2 linked regions of the Notamacropus eugenii genome follow. The protein of the gene in region 1 binds, or shares a complex with, the protein of each later gene. Links are inferred from orthologs where the notes say so. Each region holds a gene or a part of one and is shown in the gene's direction. Other genes may lie near its edges.

Region 1 (7,434 bases):
CCCCCTGAGGGAACTGAGTCCCGTGTGGTGGTCCTGCCCCCACCTGAGCACTTGAACTTAATCTCACATTGAATAGCAGCCCTGCCCCCACCCAAAGCCCTGAGGCTGGGAAGCAGCATTTGAATCTCAGACCCCAAGCACTGGCTGGGTGGATCTGGAGGTGAGGTGGGGGTGGAAAGAAAACTCAGAAGGCAAGTCACTGTCTGGGAAAAGGACCAGAAAAGGGAAAAAAAATAAGACTATAGAAGGTTACTTTCTTGGTGAACAGATATTTTCTCCCTTCCTTTCTGATGAGGAAGAACAATGCTTACCATGACGGAAAGACACAGAAGTCAAGGCTTCTGTATCCCACACATCCAAAATAAATATACCATGGGCTCAGGCCATGGAAGAGCTCAAAAAGGATTTTGAAAATCAAGTAAGAGAGGTGGAGGAAAAACTGGGAAGAGAAATGAGAGAGATGAAAGAAAAGTATGAGAAGCAGGTCAACACCTTGCTAAAGGAGACCCAAAAAAATGCTGAAGAAAATAATACCTTGAAAAATAGGCTAACTCGACTGGCAAAAGAGGTTCAAAAAGCCAATGAGGAGAAGAATGCTTTCAAAAGCAGAATTAGCCAAATGGAAAAGGAGATTCAAAAGCTCACTGAAGAAAATAGCTCTTTAAAAATTAGAATGGAGCAGATGGAAGCTAATGACTTTATGTTAAACCAAGAAATTACAAAACAAAACCAAAGGAACGAAAAAATCGAAAATAATGTGAAATATCTCATTGGAAAAACAACTGACCTGGAAAATAGATCCAGGAGAGACAATTTAAAAATTATGGGACTACCTGAAAGCCATGACCTAAAAAAGAGCCTAGACATCATTTTTCATGAAATTATCAAGGAAAACTGCCTTGAGATTTTAGAACCAGAGGGCAAAATAAGTATTCAAGGAATCCACAGATCACTGCCTGAAAGAGATCCAAAAAGAGAAACTCCTAGGAACATTGTGGCCAAATTCCAGAGTTCCCAGGTCAAGGAGAAAATATTGCAAGCAGCTAGAAAGAAACAATTCAAGTATTATGGAAATACAATCAGGATAACACAAGATCTAGTAGCTTCTACATTAAGGGATCGAAGGGCATGGAATAGGATATTCCAGAAGTCAAAGGGACTAGGACTAAAACCAAGGATCACCTACCCAGCAAAACTGAGTATAATACTTCAGGGGAAAAATTGGTCTTTCAATGAAATTGAGGACTTTCAAGCATTCTTGATGAAAAGACCAGAGCTGAAAAGAAAATTTGACTTTCAAACACAAGAATGAAGAGAAGCATGAAAAGGTAAACAGCAAAGAGAAGTCAGAAGGGACTTACTAAAGTTGAACTGTTTACATTCCTACATGAAAAGACAATATTTGTAACTCTTGAAATTTTTCAATATCTGGGTACTGGCTGGGATTACACACACACACATGCACATGCACATGCACACACACATAGAGACAGAGTGCACAGAGTGAATTGAAGAGGATGGGATCATATCTTAAAAAAATGAAATCAAGCAGTGAGAGAGAAATATATTGGGAGGAGAAAGGGAGAAATGGAATGGGGCAAATTATCTCTCATAAAAGAGGCAAGCAAAAGACTTTTTAGTGGAGGGAAAAAGAGGGGAGGTGAGAGAAAAACATGAAGTTTACTGTCATCACATTCCACTAAAGGAAGGAATAAAATGCACACTCATTTTGGTACAAAAACCTATCTTACAATACAGGAAAGTGGGGGATAAGGGGATAAGCAGTGTAGGGGGGATGATGGAAGGGAGGGCATGGGGAGGAGGGAGCAATTTGAGGTCAACACTCATGGGGAGGGACAGGATCAAAAGAGAGAATAGAAGTAATGGGGGACAGGATAGGATGGAGGGAAAGAAAATTAGTCTTATACAACACAACTATTATGGAAGTCATTTGCAAAACTACACAGATATGGCCTATATTGAATTGTTTGTCTTCCAAAGGGAAGGGGTGGGGAGGGAGGGAGGAAGAGAAGTTGGAACTCAAAGTTTTAGGAACAACTGTCGAGTACTGTTCTTGCTACTAGGAAACAAGAAATACAGGTAAAGGGGTATAGAAAGTTATTTGGCCCTACAGGACAAAAGAGAAGATGGAGACAAGGACAGAGAGGGATGATAGAAGAGAGGGCAGATTGGTGATAGGGGCAATTAGAATGCTTGGTGTTTTGGGGTGGGGGGAGAGGACAAATGGGGAGAAAATTTGGAACCCAAAATTTTGTGAAAATGAATGTTAAAAGTTAAATAAAAAAAATAATAAAAAAAATAAAAAGAAATTGTCTCTTTAGCTTGCATCTGGCCAATCACTGTCTTCAGATAATGACATAATCTTTACTACTCTACTGGCACAGGACTGCTCAGCATGGCGTGCCCACATCAGAAAGGGTGCTGTGCTCTTTGAGCAAAGCAGAATTGAGACAGCACAAAGTAAACATAAGATGCGCAAATTTGGGATATCCACCCCAAATATTCACATGGATTATCTGTGCCCAACCTGTGGTAAAGCATTCTGAGCTCATATTGGTCTGATCACCCACAGTCAGACATATTGAAATTTCACTTTATCCCAGTGATGTCATTTTGGTCCTCTTTGAAGACAGACAACAACCACCACCAACAACCAATACCACATCAGCTCAAAACCAGCTGCAAGGCCTAAAGGCAGTTAAGGCCTTGATCCTTAGTCAGAGCCTCAAGGCAGCTCCTCTAGCACAGTTATAATGGCTTGTTCTTGGGCAATATGTATCTGTTCCACCCTTGCTTCTTGAAAGCAACTTGATTATTAAAGGAGTTGATTATTAAATTTTCAGTTTGAGTACTGATACCTCAGAAATTGTCAATTGCTACAAATCAGGCCTTGATTTGTTTATTTTTGTTGATTTCTGAACTTCAAAAAGTTTTAATAATGTAGACTAACCTTAAGAGTGTTTGTGCACACATTTTTTTTACCCCTGGGAGAGCCCAGTTATGTAACATTTAATGGCACACTCCTGTATCGTTTTATAAATGTTGTTTGAACTAAGCAGGAATGCAGTAAAAGACTCAGAGAATGAAGTCATTACCAGACTAGAAGACTGGAGACTATAAATAATAATGATAATAATTATTAATTAAATTAATATATTGTATAACAATGTAATATAATATAAATATAACATATTACTATAATAATAATTTGCAGAATGTTTTATATCCATTATCTTATTTGAGCTTCACAAAACACCTGGTTCAAGGTCATCAGAATACCATGGCAACTAGGTAGGGGTATGTAAGTGATATCTGCCTGGCAGAAGATAGAAACCTTGGTCCAACAAACAAATCACCCTTGTTGTTCATCCTTCTTTTTTTGAAGAGAAGCAATGAAATCACAATGTTTTGGGTGATATCTTGACTTGCTAGTAAGAATGGATTTTAGTGAGGCACAGTTGGAAAAAGACGTCAACTTCACTCTCCCTTCCAAAACCATCAAATTCCAGTGACAGGACAAAAACCAAGATGACTGGTGATGGCCCGGATGCAATGGATGTCCATTTTAAAGACTTTGGGAGGAAAGGTGCTCCCAGGGTTACAAATTAAATAGACATTATTAATCATTATTGCTGTCAAAGGTTGCAAAGCACTCTACATCTGTTATTTTCACAACTCTGAGGCAGGTGCTATAATTATCTCCATTATGCAAATGAGGAAACTGAGGATGAGCGACCTTCCCAGGGTCGCACAGCACTTTGTAGTCATTAGGGTAACAATTAGACGTCATTCCAGTTATCCCTTCGCGTATCATTCCATCATAGTAGCACTGCAGCCAGAGGTTCATTTTGATCTTTATTAAAATGCTTATTCCCGTTTTTATGCGACACTCAGGGTCGCAGAATCCGGCCCCATTGTCCTGCCAGCAGGTGGCCGGTCCCGCTGCAGAGCGGCTGGCCAGCTCCTCTTCCTTGCCCCGCCCAGCCGCAGAGGTAACGAAGAAGGATTAGATCTGACAGCAAGTCCCGGTCAGGGGGATACCTCGGCCCCTGAGTCCTCCGTTCAGGCACGCCCCTTTTAGAGGAGAGCTGCTGACCTAGCTTCTTATTGGCTGACTCAGCGCTGACTCCAGCCAATCCACTCTCGGCAGGTAAGAGGCCTTGGAAATCTCAGAGCCGAAGCCCACCTCTTCCCACTCCCTCCCACCACCACCACCAGCCCTGCTCTCGTCCGTCAGCCGGTCTTTCTGTCTTTCTGTCCCTCCCTCCGTCCATCTTTCCGTCAGTCCTTCTCGTCTGTCCGCCAGTCCGTCGCTCTCATACATACTGTCCGACATCACGTAGACCAATAGGAGCCCGCGTCTCCATGACGGGCATAAGCGAGGACTAGTGAGATCCACAGGCGTAAGGGGGAAGGGCGAGGCGGCTGCCCGGTTCAGGGCGGAAGCGGCCGCTTTCGGGTTAGGGTCGAGGGACGAAAGATGGCGGCGACGTCGCTGCTCTTTCGGCTGCTATGGCCTCTGCTCCTGGGGCCGCTGTTGTCAGAGCTGCCGGCCTGCGTAGTCGGGAGCTTGAACCTGGAGGAGCTGAATGAGATGCGATACGGCATCGAGATCCTGCCGCGGCCTGTCATCGGGGGTCAGGTGAGCCCCGGGGGAGCAGGAGGCGGGGAGGGGGGGAGCTGGGGCCAGGGGCTGGGGTGGGGCGTCCGGGGGAGGGGGCGACAGGAGACCGAGGACCCCGAGAGACGAGGGCGAGGCGAGGGGAGGTATGGAGGAGGACCCTGAGAGGCGTCGCTCCATCCCTCTGCGGAGGAGGGCTGGCGACCTCGGACATCGTCCAGCCGCAGAGCCTCCGCTTTACAGATGGGGAAACTGAGTCCCCGAAAGGGAAAATGAGATCCTGGCTCCCCTTGTGAGTCGGAGGCGGGGGAGCAAGCCGGGCCTCCCGGTGTCGCAGAAAGAAACAAAATGCACGGAGCATTCCCCGTGCGCACGCTGACCATGCCAGCCCTTCCCTCCCATAGTTCCCATTTTCCTCTCTGACTGCTGCGTTCGTCTTCCAGGCTTGGCTCGGATTGTCATTGTTGTCAACGATCTCCGTCAGCCTCTGTCCCTCTGTTCTACCTCTGACCCCCCAAATTGTGTTCTCTCCTCTTCCAGAGCCAGTCCTCAGAGGTCGTGATTGTCTCCTCCAAGTACAAACAGCGATACGAATGCCGTCTACCAGCTGGAGCCATTCACTTCCAGCGGGAGCATGAGGAGGAGGCCCCTCCTTATAAAGGGCCTGGAGTCCCTGAGCTGCTGAACCCAATGAGAGAGGCGCCCTGCCTAGTGAAAGTGAATGGGGCTGGAGGAGGGAAAAGGAGGGCAGGACAGCAAATTAAATTAGAGTGGAAAGCCTGGAGGGTGGGCTGTTGAGGAAGAAGGGGTATAGGGACTAGGGCAGGGTGGGTATAAACAGGCCACCCAAGAGTAAAGGCAGTGATGAGGACAAAAATAACCCTATACTCGGGATAGACCCCAAGCACAACCTAATAGAATGTTGGGGGATAGAAGGAGTAATAGTATTAGAATGAGATTAGAGTGTTTGGGAGGAGGAGTTTATCGACAGAGGGAGAAGTTGAGGGGTGGGGATAAAATTAAAAGCGGAGGATCTCTAAAGAAATGTGATTGTTTCCTCTTCTCATGAAAGGCACAATGAGAGGGGAGGGCAGAAATTGCAGGTGGAGGAAGTTTAGACTGCAAGGAAGCTTTGAAGAAATACCTAGAAACAGGGAGATCAAGGGGCAGTAAGGGATCCTCTTCCATAGAGAACATAAAGGATTCCCTGCCAAGGAAGGTACAAAAGTGGACGAAAGCATCTTAAGAGCTGGACAGACTTCCCCCTCCCCCTCCTCACATCCCTACTGACTGTTAACTTTGTCATTGTTAGACCAAGGACTGGTGGACATATGAATTTTGTTATGGACGCCACATACAGCAATACCACATGGAAGGTGATTCCTCTAATTCCTTCACTCTCCCACTGCAATACTAGATGAAGGGTAACCCACCTTATTCTGACCTCTTACCTTACAGAAGAGTAACAATTCTACCCTTTGGTGTTTCTTCTAGATTCAGAGATCAAAGGTTCTGTTCTTTATCTTGGATATTACCAATCTTCCTTCAACTGGGATGATGAGACTGCCAAGGTAGTGGTGGTTGGAGAGTTGGGAGGGAAAGTAAGGATCCTGGTTGGAGTCTTGAGATCTCTGGGGAATAGGGAATGGGTCTGGGTGAGTCAAACTAGCTTCTCAGGGTTGAATGACCATTCAGTCTTAGCTCCTAGGGCCTTTTTCAAATATTTTAGCATTTTCAGGGCTGCCCCTCCTACTTTATCATATTTCCTCCCCTCCCCCCCACCTCTACATATCAGGCCTCCAAGCAACACCGTCTGAAACGCTACCATAGTCAGCACTATGGAAATGGCTCCAAGTGTGACCTGAATGGTCGGCCCAGAGAGACTGAAGTCCGGGTGAGTCTAGGGAAATGGAAGCCATCTCTTCTCATAACAAAGCACTTGAACTGTGAGGAGACAGAGTAGAATTGTCTTCTAGGGGCCAGTCCCCAAAGATTTAACTATCTGATGCTCCTTTCTCTGGCTTGTCACTCTAGTTAATTCTCTATATAATGCAGGCTTTTATTTCCCTTTTCAAATCTTCCCCTGCCACTCCCCAGTAGCAACAATAGAGTTGCCATTATTCCAATCCCTCCTGAATTAACTTGCTCTCTCTCGGTCAGTTTCTGTGTGATGAAGGTTCAGATGCTTCGGGGGATTACATTGATCGGGTAGATGAACCTCAGTCATGTTCTTATGTGCTCACTATTCGAACCCCTCGACTCTGCTCCCATCCTCTTCTTCGACCTCCTCCAAGTGCTGCCCCCCAGGCCATCCGATGTCACCCTACCTTACAGCCAGAGCAGTATGGAGCATATATCCAGGGACAAGTGTGTGAGTCTCAGGGGGACTGGGATATATTTGAAGGAGAGGAGTGGGGAGAGAGGGAATATTTTGAACACCTAGTCTCATGCTCTCCAATTAATTTCCCTTTTTATTTTTTTCCAGTAGATGCAAAGCAGAAAATTGAAGAAATCTCTGAGAAGCTTCACAACCCAGACCTTGAAATGTGGAGTGAGACACAGTTTGGGGTCCTCGATACAAAGGGAACAGGTCATATTTCCTCTCAGTTATCCTGTGAGGTGGCTCTTCTCTGCTAGTTTTAGTAGCTCCTGGGAAGGGAAGGGGGTGCCATCTATCTTGACTGCTTTGTTCCACCTGTTGAGATCCATACAGAGGAGGTGCAGGTGTAGTTCCGCATTTCCTTTTTCTCTTCAGACCTTGCTTTGTCCCATTCCTACTCCCAGGTATGACC
Region 2 (7,902 bases), on another chromosome or scaffold:
CTAATTTATTTCTTCAGTGCTACAGCAAACTCTCAAATGAATATTTTACAGGGCTAGAAAAATAATATGTTCCTCATAACAAGGAACAAAAGGTCAAGAATCTCAAGAGTAATAGTAAAAAAAAAAAAAAAAAAAAAAAAAAAAAGGTGGGAAGGAAGGTCAGGTCTCTCAGTACTAGATATGAAACCATACAATAAACAGAAACAATTACAATGATTTGGTACTCATTTAAAAGGGAAAAAGAGAGACATGTCAATCAGTGGAACCAATTAAATGTAAAACTATAAAAGCAAACAAACAGTAACATAGTGTTTGATAAAACAAACCCTTTTTACTGTGGGAAGGACTCACTATTTAACAAAAACTTCTGGAAAACCTGGACAGCAACCTGACAGAGATTAGGTATAGATCAATACCTCAGACTGTACCAGGATAAGTTTGAAAGAGATACATGACCTAGATATAAAAGATCATCCATCTCATAAACATATTAAAGGAGCAACAAAGAAATTACCTTTTACATATGTAGATAAGGAAGGAGTTTGTAATTAAACAAGCGACAAAGGATCACACAAGAAACAAATAGGCAATTTTGATTGTATAAACTTAAAATTATTTTTCACCAACAATGTAATGAAAATTAGAAATAGTTCACTGGGGGGAAAATTCTTTGCAACTAATTAATTAATTAAAGGTCACATATCTAAGAGCTATTACCCTATCGACAACTGGTAAAAGGATATGAAAAAGCAGTTTTCAAAGGATGACATCTGAGCTATCAACAATCATGTGAAAAAATACTCTGAATCATTAATAATCAGAAAAATGCAAGCTTTGAGATTTCACCTTACAACTATTAGATTGACAAAGATGACAAAAGAGGAAAATTACAAATGCTGGAGAGATTAAGGAAAAACAAATTCATTAGTGTCCTATTGGTGGAACTGTGAATTGGCCTAGCCAATCTGGAAATAAATTTGAAGATACGATCAGAAAGCTACCAAATTGTTCATACGTTGACCCAGTGATATTGCTACTAGTCTTATACTCTCAAATAAATCAAACAGAGGAAAAGGATCTATATGTACAAAAACATTTGTAATCTCTATTTTTGTATTAGCCAAAAGTTGGAAACCTAGAAAATATCCTCTTATTGGAGAATGGCTGAACAAATTGTGGTACATGAATGTAATGGCATATTATTGTGGCATCAGAAATAATGAAACAGAATTTCAGAAGGAAGTGGGAAGTACTCTATGAATTGATGCAGAGCAAAGTGAGGAGAAATAGAACAACTTATACAGTGACAACATTATGGAGAAAATAACTTTCAAAGACATTATAATGCTGATCAACAAAACATAAGACACAAGTCCAAAAGAACGGAAATGAAAATCATTGCTTACCTCCTGAGAGAGAAGTGATAAACTTAAAATAGAGATACTTACATTTTCAAACACGGCTAATGTGGACATTTGTTTGGCTAGATGATTATAGCAATGCATATAAGCTTTTGGTGTTTTTTAAAGTATTCTCAATGTCTCTGTGAAAGGAAATAATGATAGATTTTCAAGATATTTCAATCTATACTCTGAATCCATCAGTTCTCTATCTACAAGTGAATAGCATGTTTCATCATGAATCCTTTCGCATTGTGATGAGTCATTGTATTAATCTGAGTTACTAAGTCTTTAAGTTGATTATCTTTACAATATTTCCGTTGTTGTCTCTTGTTCTGGTCATTATCCTGGTTCTGTTCACTTTACTTTGCATCAGTTAATTCAGATCTTCCTGAGTTTTTCTGAATTCATCCTGTTCATCATTTCTTAACATATTAGGATTAGGTCACATTCATATACCATACTTTGATCAGCCATTACCCAATTGATTCCCCAATTAATTGCGTCAATTTCCAGTTCTTTGTCTCCACAAAAAGAATTACTATAAATATCTTTGTACATATAGGTACTTCTCCTCTTTCTTTGATCTCTTTAGAGTATTAACTTGCATTTTTCTAGTTATTAGAATTTTGAGAATATTTTCATATGGCCCTTGATAGCTTTGATTTCTTCTGCTGTCTATTCATATCCTTTAACCTTTCATTAACTTGTGGAGGGCTTTTCTTCTTATAGATTGGACTCTGTTCTTTGTATATTTTTGAAATGAGACTTTTTGCAACAAAGATTTTCCTCAGTTTCCTGCTTTTATTTTAATTTTAGGTGCTTTAGTTTTGTTCGTGAAAAACCTTCTTAATTTTATATAATCAAAATTATCCATTTTATCTCCAGTAAACTTGTCTATTTCTTGTTCAGTAGTGAACTCTTTCCCATCTGTAAATCTGACAGGTGATTCTTCTCTGCTCCACTAATTTAAATCAGATACCTATTTCAAACTCATCTTGGTATATGGTGTAAGATGTTGGTCTATGCCTAGCTTCTGCCAGATCATTTTCCAGTTTTCCCAAATGTTTTTGTCAAATGTGAGTTCTTGCCCCAATTGCTGGAAGGCAGGAGGAGGGAAGATATATAAGAACTGCTGCAGAATTAAGGCAGAATAGTACAAGATACACAATGACCACAGTAGGTAAAGGAAAGTAAAAAAAAAAGAAAAAATCAGAACTGCTTTCAGTACACTGAACAAGAAAATCTATAGAAGTATGTTGATGATGAGATACATACCTTATTGTGGAGAGGTGGTAGACTAAATATGTAGAATGATATATGTACTATCACATGCATCAGATCAATGTACTGTTTTGCTTAACTGTTAAAAGAGGATTCTACTTTGGGGATGCTACTTGGAAATGACAGTACTTTTTAAAAGAATCAATTAAATATTCTAAAAAACAGAACAGGCTACAGATATAAATTTGGTAATACAGACATAAGTATCATTTAAGCCAGATGTTCCCAAACTTATTTGGCCTATTGCCCCCTTTTCAAAAAAGAAATACTCAACAACCCCCTGGAAATCTACTTTCTTTAACCCTTTAACAGGTTTTTTAAAAAGTTGTATCCTTTCAAAAATATAATTTTTTTTAAATGACACGTCTTAAATTTGATAGTTTATTGCAAATTTGTGGGGTTTTTTCCTGTATTGAAACTTTGATGAGGCAATACTGTACCATATAACCATTGTAAACCAATACCATAGTATTGTATTGTAAACATGTCATTACATGCACATATTCCTGCCAACACATGCTGGACTTCCAACAATGCAGGGACAAGCTCACTTAACAACACTTACATATTAAGACCTGTGAGTGTGGACTTGATCACTCACTGGTTATAATTTGCATTTTGTGCATTTACTTGGAAAATAATGTAATTACTATGACTTTAACTCTGTTACATGACAGATGAGACACGTATGATGGGTTTTTCGAATTCTTATCTAATCTTCTTTCCTTTTGCTTCCATGATCCCTTTATTTTTCCTCAATACCCCCCAAATGTACCCAAAGTTACTACTGCCCCCCCATAGTTCCAGCACCCCCAGGGGACAGTATCACCCACTTTGGGAACCTCTGGAAGCTGTGGGAGTGAATGAGGTCATCACTGCTTATATAATCGGCATCTGCTTATCTGTTGTCTCCAGCTAATGGAAGAAGCCACTCCTTGAGGACAGGCACTGTTCCATTTTTGTCGCTGTATCACTAGCACCTAACCCAGCACCAGGAACCCAATAAGGGCTTAATAAACAATGCTTATTGTAGTGAAATGAGTGTCAAGAGCAGAGCTTGAAAGACTTAAGGAAAGCTGAACTAGTATAATATTTGCAATACTTCTGAAAAGAGTATGTTCAAACACAAGACAACGATTACCAAGAGATCAGTAGTTCTTCTTTAGTTTAAAAGCAGGCTGAATCAGTCTTGAAGATTAAGTTCATCCCTCTTTACAAAGAAAGGACTCTTTGAATAGATGGACTTGTATGCTGTAACCTGTACCTTTTGAGCCACATCCCCCAACTTCAGTATTCCTCCTAGTTCCAAAATAGCAAACAAGCCAATTCCTTTCACTGTGGCTCATTTCGTACCTGGCTGCATCTGGGTCCCAGGGTCTTTGGGTCTTCTCTCAATTATCCACTATATCCCAGGATCATTACCATTAGGACCACTCACCCATCTATAACATCAAATTAGGCTTGGTCCTGGCTCACCTCTTCCTCAGTAATTACCTTCTGCTCCTCCGACTGCAAGGTGAGACCAGGAATGCCAAAATTTCCATTTAAGGAGAAGCCTCGGGACTGACCATCGGATTTCCCACCCGTCAGGGAGACTCCCCCTCCTCCTCCCCCGAGGACCGCCCTTTCGCACTTCTCTCTCCTTTGCAGCTTCCTTTTTTGAAGTCTTCCCCCTTAGATCTGTCAGCACCTTGAAAGCGAGGGCTGCTCCTGTGTGTGGGGGTGGGGGTGGAGGTGTGAGGGGGTGTGAGCGGGTGGCGGGGTGGGGGTGTGTGGCTGGGGGGGGGGGGGGGCACATTTCCAACCCCCTACTTCCTTCAGACAAGGTTTTTAAACCTGCCGCCCTCTCCTTTCGCTCTAAGTCCCAATCCCGGGGGTTCTTTTTCCACCCAGACATCCCTAACGAAAACAGGGCTGAACGGCGGGGAAAGAGGCCCCGGGCATTCTGCAGTGCTGGGCGTAAACGGCAGCCGGGCCCTGGGGGCTCCTGAGCTTGCAGGGGCCAAGCTGGGCCCCAAAGGCCGACTTGGGGATTCGTGGATGAGGACCGCAGCAACGCCCCAACGCCGCAGCTCTGCAAAGCCTGCAGCTGGAGAGGGGGCGGTGACGTTTGGGAGAGGCGGGGTTTCCGCTTCCGGTTACGGATTGTTGACGACGGCGACTGCGGCGGCGCCGGGCTGGGGCAGTGACAGATCCAGCTGCGGCTGGGGCAGTGGCGACCATGGCGGAGGGCCCGGAAAAAGCCCAGGGCCGCCTACCCCGGCAGCGCGGCAAGCGGGAGAACCGAGGCGGGGGCCGCGACTCCGAAGCCTCCACCTCGAGCTCGTCGGCCGTCATCCCTCCCCGGGACGAGCAGCCGGGCCAGTCTCGGGCCCCGGCGAGGCCCGAGGCGAAGAACGTCGCCGCAGCCTCCGCCTCCGAGGCGGGCCCGGAGCGCGAGCCCGGGCCTACCGACAGCGAAGCGGACCCCGGCGGCGGCGAGGCGCCCGCGGAGAAGCCGACGGCGCGCGAGTACTCCCGGCAGGTGCACGAGTGGCTGTGGCAGTCGTACTGCGGCTACCTGACCTGGCAGAGCGGCCTCCTGGCTTTCCCCGCCTACGGCAGCCCCCCGCTGCAGCCGCCGCCGCCCCCGCCTCCGCCGTCCTGCGCCCCGGGAAGCGGCAGCCCCCCCAACGGCCCCGCGGCCGGGCCCCCGCTTGCCCCGCTCGGCTACTACAACCCCTTCTACTGTCTGGCCACCCCCCCAGCGGCCGACCCCGCGACCACTGCGGCGGCCACTGCGGCGCCGACCGCGACCCCCGCCGCCCCCGCTGCGGCTGCCGCCGCCGCCGCCGCCCCCTCCCCGGGGCCCCGAGCCCCTAGCTGGCAGGGATCGGCCAGACTGGCTCCGGTGACCAGGGCTGGTGGCGTCACCGCGGCCCGGCAGCAGAACGAGAACGGGCGTCCCGCAGGTAAAGGGCGGCGGGGGGTGTGTCTGTCTGGGTCTGAGTCTAGGTCTGTGTGGCTAGGGGGTAGGGCTCGCTTGGAAGCAGTGGTGCCTGCCTTTTTTAATTCAAATATTTGCTTATGTATTCTTTTTTTTTCTTTTTTTAGCGCAGAAACACTTGCACCTTTCGGACCTCGATTTTTTCCTTAAGGTGGACATATAGGCTGCAATTTCCAAAGGGCACGACTAGGTTTCTGGTCTTCTTCACGCATGTGCACCACAGTTCTCTTTCTCCTTTGCTCCATTAAACTCCACATTAGGGAAGCTCCCTTTGCCACCTGACCTTTTCTGCAAACCCTCCTGAGAGGGAAATGTTTTGTATTATATTCCGGACCAGAGGTAATATGGTAAAGTAGATAAGAGTTTGGGGAGATAGAGTCAGAAGACCGAGGTTCATACCTGATTGCTCAAGGTGGTAGGGTGACCATGGGCATATATATCTGTGAGATTGTTAACTGGTGAGTGATTTAACTGTATACTGCGACCCAAAAGATTATGTGCTTGTTTCTTGTAATTATTAGGCTTATTTAACTGTTTTTGTTTTTAGAGGAGAGGATTCCTTTTCCGTGGGAGGTGTGTCAGGAAATAAGTGTAGTGTGAAAAGGAATGGCATTAATAAACCATTTAAAAACTAAAATGGCATATGAATGTAATGACAAGGTACTGCTCTGCAGAAATAAGAATATAAATAACAGTAGGACCTGCCATTTCATTAGTAAGCCCCCAGAAAAACTACCAGTGCAGGCTGGTACCTTCTCTACAACTTAAGTCTTTCAGAATTCTTAGAGTATGGGAAGCTAAATGAATTGTCCAGCCAGAGTGCTCCAGAGATAGGACTTGAACCCAGAACTTCCTGGCTCTGAGGCTAACTGTCTATATGACACATGGCCTCTCTAATAAAAAAATCAAAAATATGAAGAATTTACAGAAACATGGAAAAATACAGGTTGGCATGAAGCAGAGCAAAAAAACCCAACCCCACAACCAGGAGAATAGCGTACATGATAATTGCAATAAATGATATACACAAAAATGACACCGAAAGGTAGCGGAAGGCATATTTAATGCAGTGACAATCCTGGTCCTTGAGGACAGAAAAAAGAAGTCCGTCCCTCCTTTCTGTAGAGAAGTACAAGTCTTCAGTTAAGAATGTTGTATCACACTGTAAGAAGCAGTGATTTTGCTGGTCAGAGTTCTCAGAATTTTAGGACTTGGAAAGGAACCTCAGTGACTCTCTAGAGTCTAGACCAGTCCATACACTATAGGAATCTTAACTGTAGCATACCCAACAAGCAACTGTCCACCTTGTGCTTGAAGAGAACCTTGAAGGAGGAGGAGCCTATCTCTGGAGGCAGCCTATTCTACTTTTGAACAATTGTAATCATTGGGATGTGCTTCCTGACATCCCTTCCCTCTTTCCCCACGTTGCTGCTTGTTCTGTCTTCTGGAGCCAAGCAGAGCAAATATAAACCTTCCTTACCAGGACAGTTTCTTGAGTTTTCTCTTCTTCAGGCTAAACATGCCCAGTTCCTTCAACACAGACTTACATGACCTGGGTCCTTCACCCTTGTAGTTGCCCTCCTCTAAACATTTTCTAACTTCTTTTTTTAAACTGTGACACTTAGAGCTGAACACAGTACTTCAAATGATGTCTAACAAGGGCAGAATATAGTGGGACTGCCACCTCATTCCTAAAAGCTATGTTGTTCTTAGTGCAGCTCAATATCAATAGCTTTGTTGGCTACCACATTATCATACTGATTCATATCAAGCTTGATGCCCACTAAAAACCCCAGATCTTTTTCAAAACAGGAGTCTAACTGACTCTTGTACTTGGGGAAATGATTTTTTTTTTTGTTTTGGTGCCCAAGTAAGAGACTTTATATTTTATCCCGATTGAATTTCATCTTTGACTCATCTGTAGTCTTGTCAAGATCTTTTGATATTCTAATTCTGTCATCTTATCATGTTTACTATCATGTTCAACTCTGTGTGTTACCTATATATCTGATGAGCATGTCATCTGTGCTCTTATATTGGTTATAAAAATGTGAAATAGTATATAGCCAAGCAAAGATCCCTGGGGTACTCAGCCTCCATGATTCTTTCTTGCATCCTCAGACTTCCCACCACTACACCTCCCCACTCTGAACTGAGCATCTTGCCTCATGTTTGATTGAAGAAAGTGAAGCCATTCAGTGAGAGCTCCCTTTTTTTCTCTCCTCTTCCTCA

Evidence for each region. The genes of interacting proteins can lie anywhere in the genome.
Region 2: OS9 (region 1) and FAM8A1 share a complex: the UniProt entries of both Homo sapiens proteins name them as parts of the HRD1 complex. The link is inferred for Notamacropus eugenii from reciprocal best matches to the Homo sapiens genes OS9 and FAM8A1.

Annotation. Positions count from the first base shown.
Region 1 is NC_092874.1:233,054,102-233,061,535, forward strand, and holds the start of OS9 (protein OS-9), read left to right. Parts: upstream 1-4,430; 5' UTR 4,431-4,501; coding exon 4,502-4,663; intron 4,664-5,182; coding exon 5,183-5,359; intron 5,360-5,954; coding exon 5,955-6,018; intron 6,019-6,136; coding exon 6,137-6,213; intron 6,214-6,437; coding exon 6,438-6,536; intron 6,537-6,802; coding exon 6,803-7,013; intron 7,014-7,127; coding exon 7,128-7,232; intron 7,233-7,426; coding exon 7,427-7,434. UniProt on the Homo sapiens protein: Lectin component of the HRD1 complex, which functions in endoplasmic reticulum (ER) quality control and ER-associated degradation (ERAD).
Region 2 is NC_092875.1:190,223,622-190,231,523, forward strand, and holds the start of FAM8A1 (protein FAM8A1), read left to right. Parts: upstream 1-4,825; 5' UTR 4,826-4,905; coding exon 4,906-5,635; intron 5,636-7,902. UniProt on the Homo sapiens protein: Plays a role in the assembly of the HRD1 complex, a complex involved in the ubiquitin-proteasome-dependent process of ER-associated degradation (ERAD).